Notamacropus eugenii: one gene and its partners. The protein of the gene in region 4 purifies or fractionates together with the protein of the main gene of each other region. This does not show direct contact. Links are inferred from orthologs where the notes say so. Each region holds a gene or a part of one and is shown on either strand. Other genes may lie near its edges.

Region 1 (6,914 bases), on a different chromosome or scaffold from region 4:
CCTGATGAATATCTGGTCACCGGATTCAGATGGCTATGGAGGAGAAGTGAGGCTGGTGACCTGCAGCCCTACCTCACTCAAAACAAAGTCAAGCGCAAGTCATGTCATTATTTCTCTGATGACATGGTCTTCTTTGGCAATGAAGGACGAACACATACACACCCCACCTAGTTGCCTGTCAGTGATGGAAGGCATTCATATTTCAGTAATGGATTAAACTAGATGATTTCTGAAGTCTCTTTCTCTTATGATTCCATAACCATATGATTTTAATATTCATACTTCTTCATGAGAGTTTTAAAAATATCTGCATCCTCTGGAAGAACCTCATTAGGTTCTTTGATATCTTTCTCTGGCATTCTTTTCCTAGTTTAATTTACTTATATCTCTGCTGCTGATTCTGATGCTTATTGGATCAAAATACTGAAATGAGACACTGGGGGAGGGCTATCAGAATCTGTACCTGTGATGCCATCAGTTTAGGGAGTTCCCAGTGTGGAAACTTCCTCTACCATTGTAGATCAGCCACTCATTTGTAATTTATAGTTTTAGGGAGCTGCCTGGAGACTGGGAGATAAGTAGCTTGTCCATCATCATGGAATCAGTCTTATAGATTTAGAGTTAAAGAGGATCTCAGAGGACATCTACTCTAGCGCCAACAATTTACAGATGAATAACTAAAGCACAAAGATTTTAAGTAATTTGCTCAGGGTCTCACAAGCAGTAAATGGTAAAGCCAAGATGAAAGGCCACACCTTCATTTTAAATTCAATAGTTCTCTCTTTCCTTACATATTCAGTGAGAAAATGGGCTTAAACTACAGTGGTAAATAGAACATATGTAGAGGATGCATGTGGCAAAGAGTTAATTCATAGTTCCTGGTTACTGAGTTCTTTTTCCCTTTATGGAATCTCCAAGAAATTTCCTTTAGGTCTTTGTTGAGTTCCAAGTTTGTGTTTTGGTAGAGTCCATAGCCTTTGTTTCTTTTTGCCCCTAATGGGGCATGATTTCTGAAGTTGACTTTCTTAACTGGTCTGTCCTTCTACATCCATCTGCAGGTGCTTCCACTGTCATCATCCTTTGCTATCACCTCTGATGGACCTTGTCATCAACTTTATGAGGTCCACTGGGACCTCAGATGGTTCTGAACCTTCCAAGGTCCCAAGGCTGTAACCTGGTCAATTCTGTCTTAGGACACATACATTCACCAAGATTAGGGAAGAAGAAACACAAAAGGAAGAGCAGCCATGAACTCACTATCACATGGCCAGGTGGGGGAATATACCTTGCTGCCATTCCAGTACAAGGCAGCTCTCAGCAGATTACTCCTTTTGTATACACATTCACTTCTGACTCAAACACTCATGAGTCATCAGTCCTTCTGGCTCCTCAGTCAGTCAGAAGACTTTTTGTCACCACACAGTTTACTCAGTCACTCATAGCTACAAGTAGTACCCTCAAACTTTAGAAACAGACAGAAAATATGCTTTAAGGACTGAATTCTGTCAGGAAATATCCACATCTCTCACAAGGACTTGGATTTACAGACATACACATACGTACAGTAAATTAACAAATTAATCTTTCTGGGAATCAGCTTCAACTCTCCCCATTACTGTTAAGCCATCCCATCCTCCTAGTCACCCAAGCTCACAACCTTGGTGACATATTCAACTGCTCTCTCAAAATGTATCCCACATATCCAAATCTGTTCTCAAGTCTTGTTTCTATCTTCACAATATCTCTCTTAGAGTCCCCTTCTCTTCACTCACACAATGCTCTGGAGCAGGTCCTTTTCTGCTCAGCCTGGGCTAGCTACTTCAATAGCTTGCTGACTAGTCTCAAGTCAGTCCTCATTCCACTCTTTCTTCCACTCAGATGTCAAATGGATCTTTCTAAAAGAGCAGATCAGACTCTGTCATCCTCTCCCTTTAATAAAACTCCAATGCTTCTCTGTTATATTCAGGATCAAATAGAAAGTCCTCTGTTTGGTTTTTTTAAAGCTCCTCATAACCCAGTCCTTTTTTACCTTTCCAGTTTCCTTTCATTTTATTCTCTATTAACTCTATGATCCAGTGACACATCCCTTCCCCTACTTGGCTGTTTCTTCACCTGACTTGGTACCCTTCCCCAAGCTATCCTCCATTTCTGGAATACTCTGCCTCCTGCTTTCTTTCAAGACTCAGCTTAAAGCCCACCTCCTAGAAGAAGCTTTTCCCATGTCTCCTTTCCATCCCCCCCTTCCCTCTGAGGTTCCCTTTAGTCTGTATACATCTAGTATGTACAGCTGTTTACACGTTAGCTTCACAAGAAGGTGAGGGTTTTTTGTTTTGTTGCCCTTGTGTCCTCAGATCTTAACACAGTGTTTGGCATATAGTAAATATTTAATTAATGCTTGTTGACTGACTGCCTGACTCATCTAAAAAAGGAGCACGCACAATGACCTAGATGGCCTGAGGTCCTGGGAGTTCTAAATCTAGGATCTTACAATTATTCTCTGCCTCTCATTTATATCTTGGGAAAACAGATTTTAAAAAAAACAACTCATTTCTTTAAAGCACTTCCAGACATTGTTTCCCCACAGATTATGCCACAACCACACTGTAGGTTTATTGCATGGGGAATAGTTACAAAAAACTATACAATGTAGCGACTTTTACAATAAAGCGTTTTATAACAATGTCACAGGTAGGGTTAAAAAGTTTACACAATCCCTCAATCATAAAGAGAACTCTGCTTTCATCTTCTTTTTTTTCCAGAAAAAGTAGCTTTTTAGAAGTTGAACTGAAGTTCCATAAGCAAAGGGTACATAACTTCTTCAATAAGCATGTAAGCACCCCCCAAACTACTTTTTCCCCCTTCAATAGATTATCCAGATAATTTTCTTAATCTATAACTTCCTTCTCTAAGGCGTGTAGACACAAGTTAGGGAAAGGCAGTCAGTGAACATAGGAAAATTCAGTATTTTTGTTTATAAATGACCTTTACTCAAAACGTGGAAGTATCCATAAGGACAACCTAGTGCCAGCCTGGCCTGTTTTATGAGTAGCAGCAGTGATCGCTTCTAGACTCGGGGCTGCTGCATTAACTTTTTAATGCACGAAGGGCTCGGAATCAGGGCAGTTCTGGGGCTCCTAGCACTTGAGTGATTGTACAAAAGCAAAGCGAACACCGTCAGTAAGAAGAAGGGCTGCGTGCTGGAGGGGAAGAAGCGGAAGCGGGTGGTCTGGGGGAGCGGACCGCACCAGGCACCCGAGGATAGCCGGGAGCTGAGAGTAACCTTAATCCCTGGAGGGAAGGGGACCGAACCTAAACGCAGACCTGGCCCTTCCACCGCAGCAGCGCCGAGAAGCGACGGCCCGAGTTTCTGTCCCTTTAAGCAACCGGGGAGGATTAGGGTGAGGGGGAGATCTCCGTGGCTTGGTGGTCACGTGAAGCAGGGAGAGAAGTTGGAGGTCCCGGAGGTGGCTGGGAAGGAGGAACTTCGGGGGAAAGTTTTTTTTTCTTTTTCTTTCTTTCTCTCTCTCCCCCCCTCCCTGGGCGCGGATTCGGGGCGGGCGGGCGCGCAGAGGCAGGAGGAGGCGGAGTCGGCGGCCGGCTCGGGAGGGCCGTTCTCCCAAACTTTAGTTTTGGTGTCCGCCGAGAGTTTGGGTCTCAGTCGGGCGCAGCCGCCGCCGGGAAAAGAAAGGAAGGGAGGGAGGAAACTGAGGGAGAGAGAAAGAGGAGAAAGGGACGAACGAGCCTGAATTCCGCAGAGGGAGTTGAGGGAGAAAAGTTTTCCGGCGGCTGAGCCACTCCCGAAACTTGGGAGCGGCGTCCGGGGAACAGTCCGGGGGCCCCGTGGGGGGGGGGGGGGGCAGAGGGGATGCGGCCCTGGCCCGCGGACCCCTAGCTCGGAGACCCGGAGAAGGAGGAAGGAGAGGAGGCCAGCCCAGCCGCCTGCGCCTGCGGGGCCCCCCTCTCATTCTAGTTGCGGGTCCGAGGCTGTCCCGGACGGGCGGAGCCCTCCCCTCTCCGGGTTAGGGGGTGGGAAGCTCAGGGTGGGAGAGCCATGGATCCGGGCCAGCAGCCGCCGCAGCCGCCCTCCCAGGGCCAGGGGCCGGCTCCGGCTCAGCCCCCCCAGGGTCAGGGTCAGGGACCCCCGACGGGCCCTGGGCAGCCGGCGCCTCCGGGAGCTCCAGGCTCCCAGGCTGCGCCGCCGCCCCCCGCCGGGCATCAGATCGTGCACGTCCGGGGGGACTCGGAGACCGACCTGGAGGCGCTCTTCAACGCCGTCATGAACCCCAAGACCGCCAATGTGCCCCAGACTGTGCCCATGCGCCTCAGAAAGCTGCCCGACTCCTTCTTTAAGCCCCCGGAGCCCAAATCGCACTCCCGACAGGTAACTTCACGTTCCCTTCCCCCCTCCTTGCCCTTGTGAATCCCTTCTCCCCCCCTCGCGGGGCTCGGGGGACCCAGGGAGTCTGGGCTGGGGGGGCGCCTTGGAAGCATGGCCCTTCTGGCTGGCGGGGACGGGCTGGTCCCGGGGGCTCTCAGGGCACTGAGGAAGGGGGTGGGAAACTGGGACTACGGGGCCCGGGCGGCGGGGGGTGAGGGGAAGTCTCTCCCCGACTGACTTTCCCCCTCCTCCGGCCCCTCCCTGCGGCTGTTCTGGGCTGAGATTTTTTTTTCTCTTCTCCCCCCGATCCCTGTGTTCCCTTGAAGTTCTACACAGTCCTGGGGGTTGTCGATTTGCGGGGCTTTGGGGAGGCCCCCTTTTAACTTCCTTTCCCCCTTTTTTCCCAGGTTGGCGGGAGGAGTTGGGGGGAGGTTTGTGGGGGGCGGGGAGGGGAGGAGAACGAACTGGGCAGGGGGGGGTGGGGGTGGGGAAAAGTTGCTGAGAGCTCTGTGCTACTTGGTGGGCTTGCACAATGCAAGCACCTCCCCTCCCTCCGCACCTTCCTTCCTTCCTTCCTTCCCCTGCTGGACGGAGGGGGAGGGGGAGGGGGAGGGGGAGGGGGGAGTCTGGCATTTCGTGTGTGGGTGAGTTGCCAGCGGCAGCCTAGTTGGTGAAGTTGAGCCCTGGGCCCCCCTCTCCTTGAGGGCCTCTCGGTCCGCATCAGTCTCCTGGGGAGTCAAATAATTGTTCTCTTGTTTTCCAACGTTGATTAGGGGGTGGGGGTAGAACCAGTCCCTTTAGTTTCTTACTCTTTCTCTGGCTCTCCGCTCTATCTGCCCACCCCCCCCCCCCGCCCCCCCCCAGGAAAGCATTTATTTCCGTCCCTCTGAGTTTTAGCACTTTTCCGAGCTACGAAACACAACTTCCACTTCAGAGACTTCCGAGACTTTTCCTGAAAGTTGTTTATGGAGTGAGCCCTGCCCCCCTCCAGCACTTTTGTGCCTTAGATCGTTAGTTCTTTTCACTTTTAAAAAGTTAGTCGCATTAAGTAGTTTTAGAAATTCACTCTCCGGTGAAATGCTTTTGAATGAGCCATTTTTGTTATTTGTGAAAGATTAGAGTTGCTTTTTACAACTTTTTTTTTTTAAACACAGGCAGCCTTTGATAATGCTATACAGGTTGACTCATGAAGTCCAAGTATGATTAAAAGTTAATGTTTGGGAAGCGATGACTAATTCTAGGATAGCCATTGCTTTTTCATTCTTCCTGGGGTTGTGAACATGGCTGCTTTTAAATATTCGCCCCATTTCATTATAATATCGTTTAGGAGATTTTCAAAACCAAAAACCTCGGAGGTGCTTTCTTCTGGAATCAGCTATATGTTAATTAAATTGCGGTGGGTTAAAAAAACACTAAACATCTTTTCATTTTTTGAAATAACTTGTTAGGCAAAAACTTGGCATAGGATTCTTGTTCAAAATCTAATTTGTTTTCCAAATACTGCCTAGTAGTTGGGCTTTGAGTAACTAATTAAAGAATATCTCTCCCACTCCCACTTCCCATTCACATTAGTTTAAAACAGTCTACAAGAATGCAGTAGACATGGGCCTTTTTAGAGTCTAAAGCTCTCTTAAGCCTCTGGACAACTGGGGGGGAGGGGCTTCTGGTAAAGAGAAAGAAGGAAAAAGTAGTTAATAGCTATATCCCTCCGTAGACAAACTGAAAAGTGGGATTGGGGGTGCATCTGTGAATTCGTTATATAGATATACAGGTACGCTTTAGCAAGACTAGCTGACAGTTAAAACGTCCAACAGAAACTATAAAATAGATTCCCCATTTTAGATTTACCCAATAAGAACTATATATTAAAAGGAAATGGAATTGCAAATGGGTATATCTTCCAAATATTATACCAGTATATAAGAGCCAGTTAAATAGATGCATTGGCTTTTCATAATCCAAAATCATTAATTGGACCCCAGGAAGATTAGTAACTATGTGCCCTGAATTTTCCTTTGTCTTGTTGCTACTTAACATACCAAGTTTTCTTGATTAGTTCACACTAATCGTGAATGGAAATACAAAGGCAAGTTCTGATTTAAGGCATATGTTGTATCCTACTAATTTCTTCCTTTCATTGCCCATAGGAATTTAAGAAATTCCAGGCACTGAGTAATCTTTCATAACTTTTACCTGATTGTAATCTCTGATCAGTTTCAAACTGTACAATGTTCCTTGACTAACTAAATTAACATTTTAAACATCCCCTACTTTTAGAACTGGAAGGGATCTTCACGGTCCTCTACTCCAACCCTTCATTCTACAGATGAGGAAACTGAGTCCAGTGAGATTATAACTCAAGCTGTTGTAATGCCCTCATTATTTAGGTGCAGAGATGTGGTAATAACTGTTTAATTTAAATTCAGGTTCAAGTGTGGATTTTTTTAAACTTGTTAATGAATTTTCTGTTGTCAGAAACAATGTTAGCATTGTTTAAAAGTTGTTTTAATTGTGATGCTTTATTGATTGGAATTTG
Region 2 (7,974 bases), about 7.9 Mb from region 4:
AGGAGGAGGCAATACGGGCTGCAGTGCTGAGGGAGTGGTCCACAGGGCCAGAGGAAGGGCTGTCTGAGGACTGCACAGAAGGGTCACTAGATCCAGCATGGGAGAGAGGAAGGGGATTGGGGGGGAGGGAAGATGGATAGGGCAGCTTCCCAAGCAGGCACATTTGGGCAGGGTGACCAGCCAAGCTCACTCACTTCTACACTGCCTGTCTGGGAGCGCAGCACACGTCCAGCCCACGAGGATCGGGCCAGGTGCAAGAGGCATGACCGCTGGAAGGTCTGTACCTCATCCTCCAGGCACCGCAGGCGTGCATGGGCCTCCTGAAGCTGATTCTCCAGCTCTGTCTTCTCCTATAGGGAGAGATGAGAAAGGGTCTGCAGAGCCCCAGGCCCAGCGGCCCCAGGGGGAGGAACAACTCTGCAACCTGGAGAGAGCAGCCAGCCTGGGGGGAGGAGGGCACCAGCCCCAGCAGACTGGGGGCGGGGGTGGGGTGGGGTGGGGGGGTACCAGGCCCAGCAGACTGGGGTGGGAGGGTTGGTCCAGGTTCAGGAGCCTCAGGCCTACAGAAGAGACACACTTGGCAGGCTTGCTCCTTTTGGGCACTCAGCTCCTGAGTCATCTTGTCAATCTGCTGCTGCAAGGCTTTGATCTGCTCCCGGGAGGTCCTGTAGGAAGGTCAGAGCAGGGGTGTGTGGGAGGAAGGTACACAGGGAGGGGACAGAAGCCTGATGGGGAAGGGGGCCCTGAGGGTTACAGACCTTTCTGGCTTCGAGTCTGTCAGCTCATGGAGAATGTAAGTCATCCGCTTTCCAGATGGACACTGAGCAGCCTTCCGAAGAGCTTCAATTTCCAGCTCCTTTTGAGCCAGCAGCAGCCTCAAGACTTTTGGATCCAGGTGCTCCAAACGGCAACTGTAACCACCATATCTGTAGCCCTTGAACCCTGGCACTGGTCCCAGGTTCCAGAGCTGGACACGATCCTGGCCTTGAATGCTCAGCCGGGACCTCCTGGACTCTAGCCCCAGTAGCAGAGGCCTTACATTCCAGCCCTGGTGTCCCCCCCGACTCCCTGCCCCGGCCCCTGGACCCTCCATTAGGGCTCTTACTTCTGGCTGTTGGGAGACATCAAGAAGGAGACAGAAGACAACTTGCCATTGGCACCTTCAGGCATTGTTCCGGATTCTGTGGCCTCCAGGAAGTCGCTGCTCCACATGAAGGAGGGCCAGGAGATGGTCCAAGAGGGGTCATGGACCTGGAGCCCCTGTCCCAAGTCACTTCCCAGCTGCTCCAGGCTGGAGGAGGCATCTCCCCCCTGCTCCACAGGCTGCCCAGCCATCCTTGGTGTTCCTGGGGGGAGCCGCCTGGGAGACAGGCTGGGCTGCTGCAGCCGACTAGAGGTGCCCACCTACGGAGCAGAAGAGGGGACAGACTCTCCAGCCGCCTGTATAGTGTCCCAATCCCTGGGGGTCCTCCCAGATGCCACCAGCTCTAGTGGAGCGAGGCGTGGCAGGATTCCTTAGTCCCATTTTACAGATGAGAAAACTGCCTCAGAGTTTCAGGTTTCTGCTCCCCCCCAAACTGAACCAGAGGCTGCTGGTGGTCAATCTTCCCTCTCAATTATCCAGCTCTGGCAACTACCCCTCCCCCCTCACCTGAGGCAGACTGTGAGCTCAGGGTTCTGGAGCCCAGGCTTTGTTGCTGTTTCCACGGTTACGAGCCACCTCCTGCCCCAAAGGCCCCAGAAGGAGGGGCTGTTTGTGCTCCAGCATTTCATATGCCTCAATTGTTCCTTCTGGCACACTAGGCTCTAGCAGGGGTGGAACTGGGAAGAAGGAGGCTATCCTAGAGGGAGCTCACCAGCAGAAGGGCCAGCCTGCTCAGTTTGGCCTCTTCTGGGGAAGTCTGGAGGAGCAAGAATCTCCTCTGTTTGAGATTCCCCCCTTCTCCTTCCCTAACTGTCCCTCCCCCAGCTAGAGCTGCTCTCTGCTGGGTCTCCTCAGAGGTGGCTCCAGACATGGGGAGCAGCCAGGTAGAGGACACAGCCACCCAGGAAGAACCATTAGAGACGTGATGATGGATCAGCTAGAATTGATTCAGCATCTCCAATGTGCCAGGCATCACACCAAGCCCAGGGGATACAAAGAAAAGGAAAAGAGTCCCTGGCCTCAAGGAGCTCCTGGTCTAAAGGGGGGACAACATAGAACGAACTTTGTATGAGTGGCCAGAAGCTCAAAGCATGAAGGGCCATCCGAAAAGGGGTCTTTCAGTAGACACTTGGAAGAAGCTAGCTAGGGAAGCTGGAGATGCAAAGGCAGAGTCCAGAAATGGAATAAACACAAGCTGGCCAGTGCCCCTGGACCCTAGAGTGTAAGGAAGAAAGAGACAATGCTTTTAAGGCCAAAAAAGATTTCGTCGTTAGTCCTAGAGGTGGCTGGGGGATGAGAAAGTGCCAGGGGGTCTGAGGGTAGAAGGTCATTTACGAGATCATTGGTGACTTGAGGAGGGCAGATTTAATCAAATGATGTGAACAGAAGAGTGAGGAGTGGCAATGCTGGTTGTAGATGGCTTTCTCCAGGAATTCAGCCACAAAAAGAAAAAGAGAAGGGGGTAGGGGCAGCTAGAGACGGTAGGGATCAGGAAAGAGGTTCTTTTTCCAGGGTTGGGGGCGTGTTTGTAGGTCATACACAGATGGAGCCAGTAGCATCAGAATGACTAGGGGCTGTCTAGAAAAGGCACTGTGGTGAGCAGGATAGTGCCTCAATCAAGGTGGCTGCCTTGGTCCAGTCGGGGTCTCTTCTTGCAGCCCTAAGGTTGGCAGTCTTTGGCTAAGAAAACAAAAGCAGTGCCCTGCTTCTCTGTCAACCATGTGTCCTACGATGCTGGGACCCTTCCCTTTCCCTGGGGAGAGCTAAAAAATGAAAACCATACATCCACTGAATTGTCCTCAGCAATCAGCAAATGTGTTAAGCACCTACTACACACTGTTGAGGTTTGGGGTGCTAGGAACCACAAAATACCAACAAGCCAGGTCCTGCTCAAAAGAATTCAACACAAGCCTTCTTAAAGCCAAAGAAAAACAACGTTTATGAAAAATTCAACATATTGGGTTGACTCTTAAGGAGCCTAAGTATTTGTAACACTTATATTCACAAGCAGGCCAGATAGAATCTCAGCTAGACAGTTTGAGCTGGATTGAATCTAAGCACCTTCATGGAGGCGAGATGGCACTTAAATACAGAAAAAGACTGAGGGGAGAATCCAGATTTTGCCAAGCAGTCTCAGGTCCCAGGGATAGTCTGGACAGGGGAGGTCAGCCTGGAATATAAATCAAACCCAGGGAGGATCCTGATGGGAGTGGCCCACAGTCCAGACAATCCACAATCCTGGCTGGGCCACTGGGACCTCAAGAGAATGCTAAGAAGTGGCAGGAAGGGAGGAATCATGAGAATGTTAAATCAAGTAAGGGGAATCCAAGGAGCCCCCCAAGGCCAGGCTTTCCGAGGCCCTTCAGACAAATGGGACCAAAACCCTCCCACTCCAAGAGACAAAGGTCTCGGCTTGGGCTTGTACCCCATCAGCCCCAGATACCATTCCAAAGATAAAAAAGGGTTGAGGTCTAATAGGGGAAATAATCTGGATGTGAAAAAAAGTATATCCAGTATATACATATATAGTGCCTTCACCGCTGTCTCCAACGGGGCCTGTCTACAGCTCAGTTATACCCAAGTGTTTGCAGGTTGTCACCTCCATTAAATTGGGAGTACATCGAGGAGAGGGGCTGGCCCTTAGCACAGTGCCTGGCACACGGCAGACTGTGCTTAATAAATGCTTATTTCCTTCTTCCTCTAACTCTTGGACCTTGGGCAAGTCACTTAACCCCAGCTGTCTCATCCTGGGTCATGTCCAGTCATACTGATGAGTATCTGGTCACTGGATTCAGATGGCTCTGGAGGAGAAGTGAGGCTGGTGACCTGCACAGTCCTCCCTCACTCAACATAAAGTCCAGTGCAAGTCATGTCATCATTTCTCCGATGGGTGGTCTTCTTCAGCAAGGAAGGACGAACACACACAACTCGTGGAGGAGGTAACGCTTGAGCTGGGGTTTTATAGAAGGCAGTTGGGGGGGGGTGATGTCTTCACTTGGCCTGAACTGCATTTCAGTGAAGTAGAGCTGCACTCACTCTCTCTTCTAGAGTCATCAGAGTCCAACAGCACGACAAAAGTCAAGGCAGACCCAAGCACTCGGCAGCGCCTGCTTCAGCAGCCTTCAGGGCAGATTGCTCCTGTCTGCCCATTCCCCTGGGGAAGTCTTCAGGTGCTTGGGGGAGACGACCCCCTACCTCTACCCTCAGTGGGGCGGATCCACGTGCCACAGCATCTGGGAGCCAGCGGCCGGACCTCCCTGAACACCCTGGACCGTGTTAGCACAGGGTCTGAGGCTCCTCTCCCTCCACCTCGAGGTCCCACGAGTAGCCTTGGAGAGGGGCAGCCGCTCCGGGTGATGCCCCCCAGGATGAGTGCGCAACCCCTCTTCCAGCCCTCTCGCAGCGCCCCTTCCCCACACCTCCCCTGCCCAGCCCCCCTCTGCCTCTCCATCTCAGGCCCCTCTCGCTCCCCTCTTCCCTTTCTGAGACCCCTCATCCTCCCCCACCACCCAGCACCCAAGAACCGCGTCTGAGACGCGCCGCCGGCCGGTCCCACAAGCCCTGGCGCTCCGCCAGGAGTGTCGGGCGGGGCCTCAGGATAATTCGCGGGGAGAGGACACCACGTGGGCGCCAATGGCTACTGTGACAAATGGATCCAAACGAGCCCGAAGCCGCGCGTGCGCAGACCGAAGGCGGCGGCCGCGCCGTAAGCTCCGCCCCCCGCCGCTGTCCCACCTCTCCCACCTTGCCCCCACTCAGCTTCAAGGCAACAGCCAGTGACGCGCAGCGGGAGCGGGAGCGGTAGGAAAGGTGGGAGATGAGACAAAAGCCAATGGGAGGACGGCAAAGAAGGGGCGGGTCGGCTGCTGAGGGACCAATGGACGGAGAGGTGAGGCCCACCGTTCCGAACAGGTACCCGGAAATCAAGTTCCTCCGGACAAGTCGTGGCTTGGTCAAAGGTCAGAAGTGACAAACCGGGCAACGAGAAAACCATTCCCCCACGCCACGGGCAAGGGGACCCAGGCGTCCGGATTGGAGGACGACTTTGACCGCGGACTTCCGAGAGGCCGCGAGCCACGACCCCTGGAGTTTGGGGAGGTGACCGAACCACGTGACTACACCAAGCCCCTCCCATACCTGTGACCGATGGAAGCGGGGCGGGGCGACAACCAGGTAAACCAGACCCGGCTGGAGGCGTGGGAGCGGAGCCAGGCTCTCCAGCCAATAGATGCCTGACGTAGGGCTGTGAGGCGGGGCCGGAGTCCGTGAGTGGCCAACGGGAGCTCTAGGTGGGGTGGGGTGGGGCAACAGGCATCCGGCCAATAAGGGTGAGGCGTGGGACCGCGGGGCGAGCTCACCACTGCGACCAATGGGCGCCCGGGGTGGGGCGGGGGCGGGACAACAGGCGTAGGGCCAATAGGGGCGCTGGGTGGAGCGGGGCTCGCAGAATCAGCCAATCACGCCGTGGCGTGGGGCTGCGGGGAGGGGTTGCCGGAGCCCGAACCGAGCCGAGCCGGAGCTGGAGCTAGGTTGGTCGGTTTGGATCTGCGGGGAGAGGCTCCGACGGTATGCTCTGAACTGTTGGGTTCTCCTGCTGGGGTGACCTTTGCTAGGGTCAGCCGCTGCTTTTTTGGACCTGGGGGCCGGGGGTCAGAGGTCCTGCTGACCTCTGACCCCGCCCCCCAAACGGGAGCCGGGCTGAGGAGGCAGGGGTTAATGGCCTGGGTCCCCCCTGGGGTGGAGAGCAGAGTTCTGGGCCTTTAAGGGGCCCCTCTGGGGAGCGGGGTGTGGGGGTGGGGGAAGAGCCCAGAGCGCCCCACAACCTGCTGAACGGGGAGGGGTGCCCCTCCCTCCTTCCCCAGGTCCCGCCGGGGATGCCCCGGCCCTGCCCCCGCCCCCATGGAGCTGAAGGTGTGGGTGGACGGAGTACAGCGTGTGGTCTGCGGCGTCTCGGAGCAGACCACCTGCCAAGAAGTGGTCATCGCCCTGGCCCAAGCCCTAGGTGAGCGGGGCAGCCCCTGAGCTGCTGGGGGGGGGGGGGGGGTGCCTGGTGCCAGGGCTCCTCCCCCAAGACCACCTTCTCCTCTTTCCCAGGGCAGACTGGCCGCTATGTGCTCATCCAGCGCCTCCGAGACAAGGAGCGGCAAATGTTGCCCCAGGAGTGCCCCGTGGGGGCCCAGGCCACATGCGGACAGTTTGCCAGTGACGTGCAGTTTGTCCTGCGGCGCACAGGGCCCAGTCTTGCCGAACGGCCTGCCTCAGACCCCTGTCTGCCCCCAGAGCGGTTCCCTGTGCCGGCCAGCCTTCCCCACAGGCCTCTGCCCCCCGCCCCCCATGACTCCCCCAGCCCAGCCAAGGAGGACGTAGAAGGGGAGCTGTGGGGCCTGGAGCACCTGGTCCAGAGCAATGAAGCCGAGCTGGACCAGGAGGGCTTCTGGGCCCAAGAGCTGCGGCGGGAAGTGCAGCAGGAGCTGGAGCGCCAGAGCCGGGTGCGGGAACTGCAGGCGGCCACTGAGGAGTGCGCCCGGCGTCTTCGAGAGCTGGACGCTCAGGCCCGAGCCCTGGAGGAGGAAATCAGCTGGCGGCGAAGGCAGCAGCGGCAGCAGGAGCTGCCTGGCCCCCGAAGGCCCCAGGATGAGGCTGCCGCTGCCCGACTCCACAGAGATCTGCAGACCCAGGCCCTGCAGAGTGAGCGACTAGAAAGCAGCCTGGCCAGCGTTGGCCGGGCCCTGGCGGAAGCCGAGCAGAGCCTGCAGGTGAGGCCAGCCTGATCCATCGCCTTCCAACCCCCCTGAAGGAAGGGATCAGGCCTCTTCATGGCTCCCCTCTCCCACCCATCCAGGCCCAGGCCCAGGAGGTGGAAGAGCTGAATAGGGAGCTCCGACAGTGTAACCTGCAGCAGTTCATCCAGCAGGCCGGGCCAGCACTGCCCCCACGATCCCAGGGCCCTGAGTCCAGCCAGGTGAGAACCTTGGGAGCTGGGTCCCAGGAGGAACACCCCCTTCCTGGGCTCCCTCGGCTCACTCCCTGTTTGCTGCAGGATCCTTCAGCCTCACCAACAAGCCCATCCCACGCCTTCCCAAGATGTCCAGCGTGAGCCCCAAAGCCCACGTAAGTCTGCTGTCCCTGCACCTCGAGGAAGAAGACTCGGAGGAAAACCCCTGTGTGTCTGCCTGTCTGGCACCTTCCTTTCACTCAGCTTCATTGGCTCTCTCTCAAAGGCAGCTCAACGGGACACTGAGGCTGTGCTGAAGATAGTCACTGCCAGGCTGGGGGACCCATGTCCCAACTATCCAGCTGGTTCCCTTCTCCAGAGGTGCTGCACTGGCCAGAGATGAGTGAAGGATCACTGGGAGAGACACATATGGGCTGGGAGGAGAGTTTTGGTGCCACTCTGCCAAAGACCTACAGACAGAAGGACAATGGTCCCACAGGCTGGCCCAGGCTCCTCTGGCTGGAACTCACTTCCTTGGACCCCTGCTATGTGGCCAGTAAACTCCTAGCAGGAGTGGGGGAGAGGGGGCCTGAGTGTATCCCTGCAGGGGAGTGTCCTTTCATCCCTCACTGTGTGGATCCCCCTGGAATAAAGGCACCTAAAGTATGTTATATCTCTGTATCCCGAAGGGTGGGGCAGGCCTGAGTTTCCCTGAGGCCTGGGCCAGTTTTGGACCCTCTCCCTCCTTCTTTCCCCTCCCTGGAAATCTGCAGTCCACTTTGTCTATTGTAATCACAACCTTCCTCTTGTCTTCAGCTCCCACCCACTGCCCCGGCCACAGACCCCCACCCCACGAATAGTCAGCTAAGTCCCTGGATGGTGTCACACCCAGAGC
Region 3 (7,587 bases), about 250 Mb from region 4:
AGAACGGTCTGAGGGTACAGCCCCAACAAAGTACAGACTTCCCCTCAACCTCAACTCTTCCTTATTCCCCCAGACCTCTCACCTGTGCTCATTCAACTCCATTTCCAGCTCAGCTGCTTTGGATGCCAGGCCTCTCTGTTCTTGCCGAAGGCGGTTGAAGCCAGCAACCACCTAGGGGAGAAGAGATGAAGTGAGGGAGAAAACTCTACGGAAGATAGCAAGAGCAGGCTCCTTAGGTGGTCACCTAAATGTTGAGAAAAGTACAAATTGGGTCCCAATTTGGCCCTGTTTATCCCTGTCTAAAGTAGTCTTCCCTCAAGGGATGATTTCTACCAAAGAAAATACAGGGCAATGGCCAGGACAAGTACTTATACTGGTACACGTTAGGAGAGCAAATACAGATGGACCCTCCACATATAGCTGTTCTCTGGGCTTTTGCTCTTTGTACCTACTATTTAGGGCTGAGACTATAAACTAGAAGAGAAAGAGTAGCCCAAATCCCGACCTAATCATTAATTCAGTGCCAAATCTATTCTTCCCTATAATCTTTCTGAACAAGACCTCCTTCCTTCTGTACTTTCACATCCAGAGAATGGAACAGTTACTACCTTAGCCGTACAGAATTCCTTACTTCTGGTGCCTCACTCACTATACAGTATATCAGTATTTGCTTCACCTCTATTTAAACTCCTCCAGTGGCTTCTGCTGCTCAATAAAATTACCTTGTACTTGGTCACTCTACTTCTGGTCTCTCAACATTCAAATTCATCCTTCACACAGCTGCCAATGAGATTTTCTAAAGTTCAGTTGTGACAACGTGGCACACTCCTACCCTCATTCAATAATGCCTCTTTTTAGCATTTAAAGCCCTTCATAATCTGGCCCCATCCTACCTTTCCAGCCTTACTGTACATTATTCCCCTCCATATACTCTTATAATCCAGCCAAACTGGCCTTCTTGGTGCTCATCACGTAACACTGTTCCCTTTCTCCATGCCTTTGCACTAGCTGTCTCCCATGCCTGGAAAACACTCTCTACTCACTCCCCACTTTTGGAATCCAAGTTTACTTGAAGGTTCAGCTCAATCATCATCTACTGCATAATGTCTTTCTTTATGCCCTTAATTCCTTGTACCTTACTTCCCCAAGGTTTCTTATATCAACATATATAAGTATATGCTGTCAACTTGTTAGAACAGAAATTTGAATTGTTTGACTTTTGTTGAATCTCTAGCTTCTGGCACAGTGTCTGACACATAGTAGATGCTTAACAAATAATGACTGATCAACTTGAACTCCAACAACATCCAAGCGACTCCTGTATGAATGCAAATGATGGAACCTACTTAGGAGGAGATTCACCTGAAAAGATAGAAGTTTCCTGAGCACACACTCAAAATGTATTACTTTGTGAAATAAAATCAATCCCTGAATCCCTGAGGTTAAAACAACTAAGGGGAATTAGATATTTAAAAAACAAAATTACTCTTGTTAACTGAAGGCCAGCGATGCTTCTAGGTTAGAGGTGAATTTTGAATCCAATGCCGCACCAAAGTGAATCCATTTAAATCTGTTAGAGAATTTTGCCATTTCTGTATAGAAAGATAAAACTTTTACCAGCTACCCAAAATCTTAGCTGCAAAGTTAAGAAGCAAAATAATCCAACACTAGCTCTCATGGGAATGCAAAATACTGCTCCCAGAAATCCTATCTACAAATTACTTATTGTTTTTTTTCCTTTTCCTGTCCAAATGTTTATGTATAATTCTCTATTTCTCTTTTCCTTATACCATACTGTTCTCATGTTTTCTGGCATGGCCAGAGATGACCAGATCCAAATGAGTATATACATGAAACATATATACATACAGGAGAAATGGAAGTTCTCCCAGAAGGAAGAGGGGAGGGAAGGCAGGGAAAAACTTCCAGCAAAAGGTGGAATTTGAACTGAGTCTTGGAAGCAGCCAGGAAAGTTAGAAAGTGGAGGTAATGAGGTGGAGCATTCTAAGTGAGGGGCAGAAGATAGACCAGCAAGAAGGCCCATGTCCCAGAATGCCAGACTACATGGAAAAGTTAGGAGGGGGGGCCAGGTTTCAAAAGACTTTAAAAGCCACAGACAACATATTAAATTTTATATTTGATATTATAGGAAGCCAATGGACTTTACTGAGCAGGGAATTTGACTGCCATGGTCATGCCAGTGTTTAAGAATATTCACTTGCAAGCTTTTTTAAAAAGGAAAAGAAGAAAGTGCAAGTCACATATTACACTGCGCCCGTGGTCAGGCACAGTACAATTTCGCGGTCCTCCAAGAACAGGGATCTTGGAACACAACCCTGCAGGGCTCAGGCGGTGGAAGTCGCTCCGGCTCGGCTCTCAGGTCAATCCTGCAGCCCCGCAGGAGGGGCGGGCCTGGAGCTCAGGCTAGCCAGGGCCGGGGCACCTCAAGGCACTTCCCCAGGCTGGTGGATTTCAGACCTCATACGGCTCTTTCACAGGGAGGGGTCTGCTCCCCCGCTCAGTCACAGAAAACTGGGGAGACTCCGGCGATCGGCGTCTTCCGGGCTCCTAGTCACGGATGGGGCCCCCAAGCTCCCGTCACGAGGGGCTCCCCCACCCTGAGCTCCCCGTCGTGTCCACACTCACCCCCCGTCTCCCCTCCGCACAGGGGGCCCCAGACGAGCCCGGGCTGCGGCAGGGGGCACCGCACGTGCCACGGGCCCCGCTCCGCGGCCCCCAACAGGAGCCGGGGCGGCGTACCGGCAGCTAAGCTCACCTGCTCCGCTGACACCGCCCCCTTGCCCGCGCCGCTGCTGCCGCTGCTGCCGCTACCACCGCTCTTGTTGGCCCGGTTGCCACTCTCCGCCATCTTCACCCGCCCGCTAGCTTGGGCCCTAGAAGCCCAGGGCTCGCCTCCCGGTGCGTCACATCCGGACGTCTCCGTCCCAGACTCCTCCGGATCCTGATGCTTCGAGAGCCATCTTGGTTAGGGGCACTTCCGTCGGGGGGGGGGGAGGGGAGGGCCCTGACATTTCCGGGTGCCCTATGGCCTCAAAGCTTCAAGACCTTTGGGCTCGAGGCGCGAGGAGGAGCTGCGGACACCAGTCTCCAGGGCTCCAGCTCCATGTAGGATCCTGGTCTGGGGCTTCCTCTGCTTGCACCAGGGCGTCCCTCCCCGGGAGGATGGGGGAGGAAGGAAAGGTGGAGCGGGGGCAGGGGCCGGGGGCCGGAGAGTGAGTGCACGCGTGGAACGCGGCGGGCATCGCTATCTTGCCCTCAGGGATTCCCGGCATCGGGAGGGAGAGACTTGTCCTACGTCAGTAAGTGACCTATGCCCTCCGAAGAGAGAGCGGAAGGCGAGCAGCGGGCCGTGCCCCCACCTGCCGGGGCTTGGCGGCCCGCGGCTAGGAGGCTACGAGAGGGGCGGGGCGGGAGGGCGGGACTGGTCACGTGCCTTGTGGGCAGCGAAGGGGCGAGAGGACCCCCGAACCTTTCTCTTCCAGGCTGAGCTCCACCCTCGGGCTGCCAAGAAAGTGCCCGTTCCTGCTGCGCTCTGCCTTCAGGCTGCCTGGCATCTCCCTCCTCAGTGACCAGGCGGGCACTGGGCGCAGCAGGTAAAGCCCACGGCCTCTCCTCGAGGTGGGAGCGGGCAAAGGGAAGACCCGCTATCTGCACATCTAGCTCTTCCTAGTTTACCAAGCACTTCATTTAACCCCCCGCCCGCGGAGGCCCAGGAAGGATGAGGGACTGCTTAAGGTTACGTAGGGGCACTGTCAGGACAAGAGCTGGAGCTAGTTGAGCCTTGTCTAATGTGTTTGCTGGTTTTCCTGGTGTGTCAGAGGCCAGAGATCATGTATGGAGAAGATGCCCGGTTCTCTTTTGAGCTCTCACTTTCTCCATTTGGGGACGCCTGGATCTTGCTCTTCACAGGCCTGGGACCATGGCCGGCTCCTCTCCTCGAGGTTTGCCCCTGGTAGCGGTGTGCCAGGTGACGTCCACGCCGGATAAGGAACAGACATTTGCAGCCTGTTCAGGATTGGTTCAGGAGGCTGCCAGGTTGGGTGCCTGCCTGGTCTTCCTGCCCGAGGCCTTCGACTTCATTGGTCGGGACTCAGCGGAGACACTTAGGCTGGCGGAGCCATTGGGTGGGGATCTTGTAAATCGGTATGCCCAACTTGCCAGGTATGAAAGGCAGCAAAGGAGCATTGTGGGTGAGTAGGCTCCGCTGACTGTGGTGGAGACGGGGTTCCGAGAAGGGTTGTTTGTTGCTTTCTCTACAGGGAATGTGGTATCTGGCTATCTCTGGGTGGTTTTCACGAACGTGGCCAACACTGGGAGCAGAGTCAGCGGATTTATAATTGTCACGTTCTCTTGGACAAGGAGGGTAAGACTTTGTCCCCAACTCCCTCTCAGTCCTCTCCTGCCCTTTTGAGTTGCATTCCTAGAATCCTGTTTTCAGCATCCAACCTCACTCCCTCCACCTTCCTTGCCCAGAGTGCTTGGAAACAATTTACCAAGCCTTCAAGGCCATTTACCAGTTAGATTTCCTCTGCTCCCTCTTGTTCCTCCTCCTCTTCCTCCCACACCCCCAAAACACATACACCTTGTGGACATAATGTTTGTGCCTCTGGTTCATAAGAAGTTCCCTCTCTGGGGTCTGGGGGATATAAAATCATCAGCAGAGTATTCCTCTTCTACTCCCAAGGCTCTATTGTGGCCACGTATAGGAAGACACACCTCTGTGATGTGAAGCTTCCAGGACAGGGACCCATGTGTGAGAGCACCTCTACTATACCAGGGCCCACTCTGGGGTCCCCTGTCAGTACACCAGCTGGCAAGGTTGGCAGGGAGGGAGGGGAGGAAGTTAAAGTGGGGAAAAGGAATGGGAATATGTAGAAGGGGGCAAAATGACAGTGGAATACTATATCAGAGTGGCCAGCACCAGATAAGCTAAGTATTCTACTTTCCTCCATCCCAGGTAGGTCTGGCAATCTGCTATGACCTACGTTTTCCAGAGCTTTCCCTTGCACTGGCCCAGGATGGTGCTGAAATTCTCACCTACCCTTCAGCCTTTGGCTCAGTTACGGGACCAGCCCATTGGGAGGTAAGGACCTACCAATATTTAGTACCTACGTATTCAACTGAACAGAAATGCTGTATTTCTTTCTTGACTCCCTCTGACTGTCTCTCAGGACTGAGTGGGGGAATCCTTGCTTCCAAAGGTCACTGCTCTAACTCCCTATTTCTCTCCTCCAGATGCTGAAGCTGATTTCATCCACTCTTGTTCCCCCCCACCAGGTGCTGCTCCGAGCTCGGGCCATTGAGACACAGTGCTATGTAGTTGCAGCAGCACAGTGGGGACAGCACCATGAAAAAAGAGGGAGTTATGGACACAGTATGGTGGTGGACCCCTGGGGCATCGTGATAGCACGCTGTTCTGAGGGGCAAGGCCTCTGCCTTGCCCACATTGACCTGGCCTATCTCCACCAGATACGCCAGCGTATGCCTGTGGCCCAGCACCGAAGACCTGACTTGTATGGTAATTTGGGTCGCCCAGACCCCTGACACCTGCTGACTGAACTGGGTCCTGTTCTGGGCCAGTGAGGATCTGTGGCTTGGAGGCAGGACCCCAGGCCGCTGATGAGCCTCTACTCCCTTTCCTTTACGGCATACAGGTTCAGCCTGTTGTAAAGCCCCAAAAAAATGCTTTTATGGGCTCAAACTTTAGTTACATATAGATGGGCTCTTAAATCACAATTATGAAAACTAAATCTACACCAAGGTCTAAGCACTAACAATGAAAAAAATACAGTCCTGAAGTCCAAGTCTCGACATCTCTTTTGAGGGTAAGGGGAACAATGTAGCATCAAACGTACTAGACAATAGTAACAAGTAGGGCCCGTTCATAACTCTTCAAAATGAATGCACAAATTAGTTTTTATCCCAGCCCGGTCCTAGGATTGAGAAGGAACTGTGGCAATTCAAGCACTGAAGCCCAGGAAGGGAAAGGCTATACTGAGACAGACAAAGCTCAAGGGGACATCCCAGCTCCGAGTCCACCCCAAGCCAAACGACAAATGAGATGGGAATGGGCTGCAGGATACGTTTATTTTCACTTGAACATGGAAGGAAAAATGCCACACGCCCCTTTCTCAGGGAGTGTGTGCTCCCAGCAACCCTTCTCCCCATCCTGCATACACACAGGCACTTGTGCACAGCGCACACAGACAAGGGGTTCTTGGGTGGCCCCAGGCCTCCCCTCTCACTGCTTCCTAGAAGAGGAGCAGACAGGGTAAATGAGGGACCCAGACTAGGAAGAGCCCCTAATCTCTGTCCCTGGGAGATGGGGGGAGAAGAAGGGAAGCACCAGGGCCAGGAGTGAACAAGTGAGGAGGCCATACCTTTACAAGTGTTATTCTCAGAAGGGCGGAGGGAATGTGCTGGTAAATTCCCATGATACAACCCTGGCTCTTACCTCTTCAGCAAGCTCCCACACCACAGCCCTTTGGTTTCTCAGACAAAACAAAACATAACTAGCCCTCATGAAGCTGGAGGGCAATTGAGAGAGCCTCCTATTGACCCCCCCCCAAACAACTTCAGCAGCGGTTCCACAGAGGGCTCTGACATCAGACTGCTGCTTCCTTCCTTGCCCAGGCTTGTGGCAGTCTGGGTGGAAGAGGGGGAGGGAGACACACCACTTCCACTTTTTTGTCTTTTCCTTTAAAAAAGAAGGGGAGGGGGAGCAAAGGTGACAGGAGGGGTGTGGAGAAAACCCCAAACAGTGTGTGAACTCCAGAGATGGGTGCCGAGCTGAGGACCCAGATTTGTGAAAGGTGAGAGGAGGGTCAGGGCAGTGCCTGCAACATCAAGTTCCTCAGGAGTTTCTGTCGGCCCAGCTCATAGTCCTCCTCATCCACATTCACCAGCAGCTTGATAGCCTCATGGCCCACAGCCTGTTTAAGTGAGTCTGTGATGAAGACACCTTTGAGCGCCTCCAGGAGGGAGCCGTTGATGTAGTCGCGCCAAAAGGCATCGAGGTAGGTGAGCTCAGAGAACTTGATGTCACAGATGATGGAACCCAGGTCCCGGGATTTGAGGATGGTATTGGCCTGGTTGAAACGCTCAAACTGGCGTTCAAGTGGGTCCTGCTTATTTGAGAAGACGTTGCCCTGCAGAGCTGTCTCATGCTGGCAGTATTCAGCCCTCACCCGAAGCCTGATGTCTACAGGAAAGAAAAGGTGAGTGCTTAGGCCATACCCTGTTAGAAAAGTGACAGGGGTGGCAGACCAAGGCACTACAGTAAGGTGGTAGTTACCCTTCTCCAGGGTAGAGTTCCGCTATGACTTCTCTATACTTGTCTCATCTTGGCATTTCCTTTACATACTCTGAATTTGTTTGAGCCCATGCTTGGGCCAAGAGGAAAAGGTCGTGAAGGGAAAGAGTTCTTAGTAATAGGGCACAGTAAAAACATATCGCCTCCAAATCAAACTTCATTTGGGGACATGGGGGTGAGCTTTTTCTATATTAAACAGACTTAGCCTCAATTGCATAAATTTAACTCCTTTTCTCCACCTTGGACAAGAAGAA
Region 4 (6,896 bases):
TGAAAAAGGTGAACAAATGGTCCCTTGTCTGCTCCCTGTGGGGTGTGGGGAGATGGTGCGTTCTGCCCTGGGTTTGTGGGCTGGCTTGGTGGCGGCCTGTACTCAGTGCTGCTTTTCTCTCTGCTTCTAGTTCCGTTCCTTGTTCTTTGGTTCAGTGTTGGCCCCAACAGAACCTCCCTCTGAGCCCAACCCGGTACTAGCAGAAGACAGTGAGGGAGAGGGCTGATTGGCTCTCAGGGACAGCAGCAGCTGGGCCACCTCACATTCTCAGGAGCAGCGTCTGGCGAGTCTGCTCCTCTGCCTGCTTTGTGTCAGAAAAGACTTGAACTGTGCTTGAGGAGGATGGGGGTCTCTATGGAGATGGAAGAACCTGGTCACTTCCACCCTGGGCCCGAAGCGGACGCTGGCTCTGCTTCTGCTCTGGCCACCACAGCCAACCCCTCCTTCCTCAATAAAGATTCCCAATCCTGAAGCAGACATGCGTCATTCTGGACAAAAGGCAGGCTAATAGGCCAGTGAGAATCCAGCTTTGACATTTATTCAAAAAAGACCAGATAAGGGCACAGAGCAGCTGAGCCCAGATGGGACTCAAGCTTTCTTCCCTGCTCCGAGGGGCCTTCCTTTTCCCTCCCCAGCTCCTCCACCCAGGATCCAGCTCCCAGGATGGGGCGCTAGAGGGAGAACAGGGCAAGGCTAGAGGGAAGTAGACTATTTGATTTTGTTTTATAAAAGAAAATTACACCAAGGTTTGGTGCTCCCTGCAACTAGAGGCTCTCCTGGATGTCAGAGACCCCAGGAGGAGCCAGGATTTCTGTACAATCAGTCATGCCCACGACGGCTATTTCTTGGCCTTGGCAGAGTTACGGGGTGGGGTGATGGGGCGGCCACCAGGATTCAGGCCACTAAACTGCCCATATTTGCCTTTGTTCTTGTCGGCTGGCTTAAGGATCTGCGGAGAGATAGGGCTGGTCAGATGGGCTGCCCTGGGGAGAGGCTGGTCCCAGAAAGTTTCCCTCTCCAGCCCTGGGCTCACGCACCTGGAAAGAGCACATGAGGGTTTCATCCACACTCATCATGGCGCCTGCATTGTCAAACTCACCACAGTAGTTGGGGGCAGAGAAGAGGGTCACCAGTTGCCGCTTGGCAAAGAATTCATAACCATCTTCTACCACCTGGGCCAAAGCAAAGCCTGGTCAGCATCCCTCCCTCTGGGCCGGGCCAGGTCGTCCTGCCCCTAGCCCCAGTCCCTGACCTGGTGTGCTCTGCAGATGAGGTCCAGGTCATGTTTATGAAGGAACTTGGCCACCACCTCAGCTCCAAAAGTAAAGGAGACGCCACGGTCATTCTCCCCCCAGCCTTGCACGTCTTTGTCAGGGTCTGACCACAGGAGGTCACACAGCAGCCCTTGGTCCGGCACGTCTGTGGGCCTCATAATGCGCCGGATCTGCTCCATGGACTGTAGGTCTGGGGACAGTCCTGGAGAAGGCGGCCTCCTCTGAGCCCCTCAGCCCTGACTGGCCTGGTGGGTGACCACTCCCCTACCCCAGGCTGGAGACCCTCCCACCCTCTGGAAGAAGTGGGAGGTAGCCCCAGGGTCACAGTGCCCCACACACCAAGCCTCACCCCCGTGACAGCAGAAAATCTTCTCGTCTACGATGGCTGCAATAGGCAGGCAGTTGAAGCAGTCCGTGAAGGTTTTCCAGAGCTTTATGTTGTAGCGTCTCTTGCCTGTGAGGGAAGGAGAGGGAGCTCCATGAAGACAGGCTGCTAATGAGCCCTGGGGGCTGACCCCCCACTTAGCCCTGAGAAGGGCTCAACTACCCGTCCGCCCTTGTCCTCACCCCCCACTCACACTCGTCATAGAAGCCGTAGATGCGGTTGATGCTGGCACACTCGTGGTTCCCTCGAAGGAGGAAGAAATTCTCTGGGTACTTGATCTTGTAGGCCAGCAGCAGGCAGATGGTCTCCAGGGACTGTTTGCCCCGGTCCACATAGTCCCCCAGGAAGAGGTAGTTGCTCTCCGGGGGAAAGCCCCCGTACTCGAACAGTCTGAGCAGGTCATAGTACTGGCCGTGGATGTCACCTACGTAGGGAGAGGAGCCCGTGAACAGGGTGGGCCAATGACCCCCTGGACTCATGAAGAGCCCAGACCAGGGAGGGAAGGACCTCCAGGCCACTCCAGCTCCATTCAAAATCCCCCTTGGGAAGGCAACTGTCCTGGGCTCAGAGAGTGGGGCATGGGTGCCCAGCTCCCACTGCAGCCAATCACTGGCCCCGTCTTGACCCTGTTAGGCCCTGGGGGAGGGGGTAGGGTGCAAAGCACCACCGAGGCTTGGCCCAAACCCTACAAGGGGCTGGTCGAGAGGTGGGAGGGCGCCCTGGCTCAGACTCATCTCCCACCTCCAGGCCTTTGTAGAGGCCGTGTCCGGCGTACGGGCACTTCCGGCCGCCCCCCTCGGGGGTCTCACCGCAGATCTTGAGGGGTGCCTCGAGCTCGAGGAGGATGGGCTGGCTCAGGAAGATCTCCCGGGACTTGAGACACAGGCCGCGGATCTCGTTCTCCGTCAGCTGCACGTTCTTGCCGGGTCGGGAGCCCTGCACTGGACACAGGCCTCAGAGACCGCCTGCCCCCGCCCCCCCCCCCCCAGTTCCCGGGTGCCCCCCGCCCCCGCCGCACTTCCGCCCGGCCCCCACCCTCCCCTCCCGCGGGCACTTCCGGCGAAGCCCCGGCCCCGCTTCCGGCCGCCCCCGTCCGGGCCCCCGGGCCCCGCCCGGTACCTTCCAGCAGCCTCCCGATGATGGAGTCCAGGTTGAGCTTCTCGCTGTCGGCCATGGCGGCACCGCCCCGAGGGCCCCGGCTCCGTCCCTCCGGCCCGTGCCCGCCGCCGCCGCTCCCGCCGCCCGCTCACGCCGCCGCCGCCTCCGCCGCCGCGCCCTCCGCCCTCTGCCCGCGGCCTCAGCCCCCGCCCAGGCCCCGCCCCGAGCCGCGCGCCACAGCGCCGCCCTCCGGGCGGGAGGGGAGCAGCCGCGGCGGTGGCGGAGGAAGGCGGGACCAGTGAGCGATCGGAGGGCTCTTATAGGAGGAGGAGGAGACGAGGGGTGGGACCGGGAGAGAGCCGGCGGCCCGGATAGGAGGAGGGGAGGGGTGGGACCGACGAGTCAAGAGCCGGCCCCGACAAGAGGAGGAAAAGAAGCAGGAGGAGGGCTAGGGAGGGGCCCCAGCCAGAGCCGGAAAAGAGGCCGAGAACAGGGGCGGGACCAGGAAATGAAGAGGGAACTGGAAGGGGGAGTGGGCGGGGCCCGTGGTGGGAGAGGGGCGGGGCCTAGAGGGGGCCGAGAAAGAAGAGGGAAATGGGCCGCGAGGTGGCGCTTTGCCCACGGTGATCCTTCAAGCTGCGGGTTCGAATATGCCTTCGGACCGTTCCTCCCCAGCCCTAGACCCCTGGCTGCTCTCCCAACCTCTGCCTGCTTCCGTTTCCTAGTCTTTAAAATGGGGCTGTCAGGACTTTATAAGCCCTAGAGCGCTACAGAGACGTTCGCCTTGGTGGTGGTGGTGATGATGAGGGGGGAGGGGCGGGAGTTCGAGGGAAGACCAGGGAAGTGGAGCTGGAAGGAAGGGAGGCCTGGGGGGACCCTCCCAGCAGGGGACCCCCCCCCCCCGGGAACGCTCGGCCGCCTTCTGAGCCCTCGGGCTCTCCAGGACCCTGGACAGTGGCGCCGTCCCTGCCCCCCGGGCTCCCGCTTAGCTGTGGGCCAGCACGCAGGACCAGCCCCCACGTGGGAGCTGGAAGTCCGAGGAAGCCCACCCGTGGTCCATCCTGGGCTGGAGGCCGCGCCATGAGATTGTCAGATTCAGAACCACAAAGGGAGAAACTGAGTCCTAGAGAGTCGGAGGCTTCTGACTGCACAGGGCTTCCTTATGTGAGGAGGGAGGAGAGACCCCGCAGAAGCAGCTTCGGCAAGGTTGGGGGGGGGGGTCGGCCCTCTGGATATAAGGGTGATGGGGCAGGGGAGAGCCCAGCCATCCCTGGGGCGCAAGAAGGAAAGGCAGGTGGGGGGCAGGAGGCTGGGTCAGGGCAGGAAAAAGCGAGGGGCAGAGTGGGCCCCCACCCCCACCCCAGGGGCTACCCAGCTAAGGAGGAAATGATTCTGGGGAGGAAGTGAGAGAGCGCCAGCGCCCCAGAGGTGAGAAGAGGGGCTGAGCAAAGCAGCAGCGGTCTGAGGTGAGTCAGGTGTAAGCTGAGGAGGGGGAGCTCAGGTCTGGGCCTGGGGGTGAGGAGGAGGATGGACGAAGCTGGGTTGAACCTGGCCTGGGGGCTGCCAGCGACCTCCTGGTAACCCCGGGATGCTGGCTTCTGATTCTTTGCAGGAGCAGGGGGCAGGCCATCCATGGCTGCCGCCCTGGGGGAGGACCTGGCCCAGGCCCCTGATATCCAGGATGACTCCAGCTCCCTTGGCTCAGACTCAGAGCTCAATGGTCCGGGACCCTACCGCAGGGCTGACCGCTATGGCTTCATTGGGGGCAGTGCCAAGCCCTCAGACGCAGGGTAAGCTGGGCAGTGGGAGGGCTGAAGCCTAGCTCAGTCACATATCTGGGGAAGGGGACATCCTGGGGATCCAGGTGAGGTCAGGCTATATGTAATCATCATCTGAGTCTCAGGGGTTGCATGTAATTCAGTGTTTCTTTTGATCCAGAGTAGGCAGAGTCTAGTGGGTTAGGGTTAGAGGCTGGGGGAGGGATGTAGAGAAAGTCTAGCTAAAGCAAGTCAGGTGAGGAGCTGGGAAGGGAGGGGGCTAGAGATTGGAAGTCAGAAGATCACAGGACCCTTGATTTAGAGTGGGAAGGGACGTTCAAAGGTCTTCCCGGTGAGGAGGTAACCAAGGACTAGAGAGAGGAAAGGACTTCTCTGGGCTTCAGTCTCCTCATCTGTAAAATGGGCAAACACAAACACTTGACCTACTCAAATCTGTCCCTCTTTGGGAAGTGTGGCAGAGGTTATTGGATAAAGGCATAGACAGGCAAGAGTTGGGCAAAGCCTAATGGGGCTGGGTGGTTAAAGGAGATGGGCTTAGGGGTGGGCATGTATGCTGGGCCCAGCGATGAGACTGGTGAAGGGGGTCTTGGGGGAAAACCATGCCACTCAGGAGCAGAGAGCACAGCCCCCTCTCTGTGCTTGGCAAAGTCCATGAACCAGAGAGACTCATCTGTGGGATGGGTACAGTCAGGCCTGGAGTGGGCCAGAAACAGACAAGCAGCTTCCTAGCACCTATCCGCCCCCGCCCCCCTCACTCTTTGCTGCCTTTGGCTGCCCAGTTCTGAGCTCTCTTGGCTTCTGTTCTGAGCTGGCCCAGCAGGGAGGGGGAACTAGGCCATACCCCCTCCCTCTTCCGACCACACTCCAAGCCACATCCTTCCCATTACTGTGACAACAAGAGACTGAGGTTAGCTGCTCCCCTCCCCCTGCCATGGTCTGCAGACAGAAGGGAGATGACAGTGACCATTGGGGACCCTGTCCTGTCTGACCCCATAGCCCAGGGCAACCCCCACTGGAGCTGATCCGGCAACGAGAAATGAAGTGGGTGGAGATGACGGCTCACTGGGAGAAGACCATGTCCAGGCGGGCCAAGAAGGTGAGGGCCCCACTTGGGGCCTCCATTTCATTCGGTGAACATTTTTTTTAGGTGTCCACTATGTGCTGAGCCCTGGGAATAGAAAGAGGGACTGGAGATTTCATTGGTAGACAGAATTCCCAGGCCGATGGTGTTTCAGAAAAGTCGCAGTGGAAATATTCTGCTCTGTTGAGAAAGTTCAGAGGGAAAGATGAACTCTGTTCTGGGCATGTTGTGTTTAAGACATCTACTAGACATCCTGTTTAAGGTTCCTGAAAGGCAGCTGGAGCTGGGAGATTGGAGGTCAGCAGAGAGATTGAGACAGGATGGGTGGATTTGGGAATCATCACATTGAGATGGTCTTTATATCCATGGGAGCTGACGAGATCCTCAAGTGGAGCAGTCCAGAGGGAGAAGGGAAGAGGGCCCAGGACAAAGGCCAGAGGGAGCCCCTCTGGTTAGAGGGTGGGATCTAGAGGAAGATCCAGGGAAGGAGACAGAGAAGGGGAGTTCAGAGAGGGAGGAGGAGAAGCAGGAAAGAAGGGTGTTCCAGAAACCTAGAGAGAAAGACAATCAAGGAGGAGATGGTGATCAACAGTGCCAGTAGCTGCAGAGGCCAAGGAAAATCAAGATGGAGAAAAGGCCCAGGATTTGGTAGTTAGGAGATCATTGGTCACTTTGGAGAGGGCAGTTTCCGTGGAATGAGAAAGTCAGAAGCTAGATTGTGAGGAGTTAAGAAAAAAGTGAAAGGAGAGACTGTGGAATTGGAGATGTGGGAAGTTTTCCTGAAAGTCAAGGGCTCCAGGGACCCAAAAAGGCTGGGAGCCCCAGGGTGACATGGGCTGAAAGAAAGAAGCTTGTATGGAGAGTGAGTTGTCAGTCAGGACAAAATGAAAGGATTAATGTGTAACAGTGAGAGAGGATGAAACTGTCATGGGTCCAGGCAGCAGGACTATGCAACTTCCTTCAGTGCCTTTCACAGGGAACAGTGGAGAAGGGGTGTGTGTGTGTGTGTGTGTGTGTGTGTGTGTGTGTGTGTGTGTGTGTGTCTGTGTGTGTCTGTGTGTGTGTGTGTGTGTGTGTGTGTGTGTGTGTGTGTGTGTGTGTGTTGAGTGGGAATTGCACCAGGGCCCAAGGCAAGGACCAGTAGAGTCTCTGGAATTGAGAGATGAGGAGGCTGATAAGGGAGAGGCAGGGGCTGAACCTCAGGGCCTCTACCTCTAACCCTTCCCCGACCTGGAAGTCCTTTATCACAAGCAGGATCACTCAGCATCAGTTTCTAGACC

Evidence for each region.
Region 1: the proteins of PPP1CA (region 4) and YAP1 purify together in Homo sapiens (affinity purification with mass spectrometry; 5 studies listed by BioGRID and IntAct, with this or other methods). This does not show direct contact. The link is inferred for Notamacropus eugenii from reciprocal best matches to the Homo sapiens genes PPP1CA and YAP1.
Region 2: the proteins of PPP1CA (region 4) and RASSF7 purify together in Homo sapiens (affinity purification with mass spectrometry; 3 studies listed by BioGRID and IntAct, counting the BioPlex papers as one, with this or other methods). This does not show direct contact. The link is inferred for Notamacropus eugenii from reciprocal best matches to the Homo sapiens genes PPP1CA and RASSF7.
Region 3: the proteins of PPP1CA (region 4) and PFDN2 purify together in Homo sapiens (affinity purification with mass spectrometry; 3 studies listed by BioGRID and IntAct, with this or other methods). This does not show direct contact. The link is inferred for Notamacropus eugenii from reciprocal best matches to the Homo sapiens genes PPP1CA and PFDN2.

What each region holds. Positions count from the first base shown.
Region 1 is NC_092876.1:154,292,113-154,299,026, reverse strand, and holds the start of YAP1 (transcriptional coactivator YAP1), read left to right. Parts: upstream 1-3,900; 5' UTR 3,901-4,051; coding exon 4,052-4,381; intron 4,382-6,914. UniProt on the Homo sapiens protein: Transcriptional regulator with dual roles as a coactivator and corepressor. Critical downstream regulatory target in the Hippo signaling pathway, crucial for organ size control and tumor suppression by restricting proliferation and promoting apoptosis.
Region 2 is NC_092873.1:27,747,580-27,755,553, reverse strand, and holds RASSF7 (ras association domain-containing protein 7), read left to right. Parts: upstream 1-4,973; 5' UTR 4,974-5,317; intron 5,318-5,579; exon of another isoform or gene 5,580-5,710; intron 5,711-6,006; 5' UTR 6,007-6,043; coding exon 6,044-6,146; intron 6,147-6,238; coding exon 6,239-6,900; intron 6,901-6,986; coding exon 6,987-7,241; 3' UTR 7,242-7,745; downstream 7,746-7,974. Other genes in the region: LMNTD2 (lamin tail domain-containing protein 2), read right to left, coding at 195-350, 578-665, 759-911, 1,106-1,335. UniProt on the Homo sapiens protein: Negatively regulates stress-induced JNK activation and apoptosis by promoting MAP2K7 phosphorylation and inhibiting its ability to activate JNK.
Region 3 is NC_092873.1:267,547,264-267,554,850, forward strand, and holds the start of PFDN2 (prefoldin subunit 2), read right to left. Parts: upstream 2,966-7,587; 5' UTR 2,870-2,965; coding exon 2,777-2,869; intron 172-2,776; coding exon 83-171; intron 1-82. Other genes in the region: NIT1 (deaminated glutathione amidase), read left to right, coding at 2,966-3,126, 3,504-3,614, 3,931-4,182, 4,281-4,384, 4,706-4,839, 4,979-5,104, 5,257-5,565; DEDD (death effector domain-containing protein), read right to left, coding at 6,846-7,222. UniProt on the Homo sapiens protein: Binds specifically to cytosolic chaperonin (c-CPN) and transfers target proteins to it. Binds to nascent polypeptide chain and promotes folding in an environment in which there are many competing pathways for nonnative proteins.
Region 4 is NC_092873.1:19,860,425-19,867,320, forward strand, and holds PPP1CA (serine/threonine-protein phosphatase PP1-alpha catalytic subunit), read right to left. Parts: upstream 2,927-6,896; 5' UTR 2,834-2,926; coding exon 2,779-2,833; intron 2,601-2,778; coding exon 2,469-2,600; intron 2,084-2,468; coding exon 1,853-2,083; intron 1,729-1,852; coding exon 1,624-1,728; intron 1,477-1,623; coding exon 1,253-1,476; intron 1,173-1,252; coding exon 1,038-1,172; intron 950-1,037; coding exon 839-949; 3' UTR 517-838; downstream 1-516. Other genes in the region: cell cycle checkpoint control protein RAD9A, read left to right, coding at 1-8, 131-226; TBC1D10C (carabin), read left to right, coding at 4,390-4,547, 5,532-5,631. UniProt on the Homo sapiens protein: Protein phosphatase that associates with over 200 regulatory proteins to form highly specific holoenzymes which dephosphorylate hundreds of biological targets.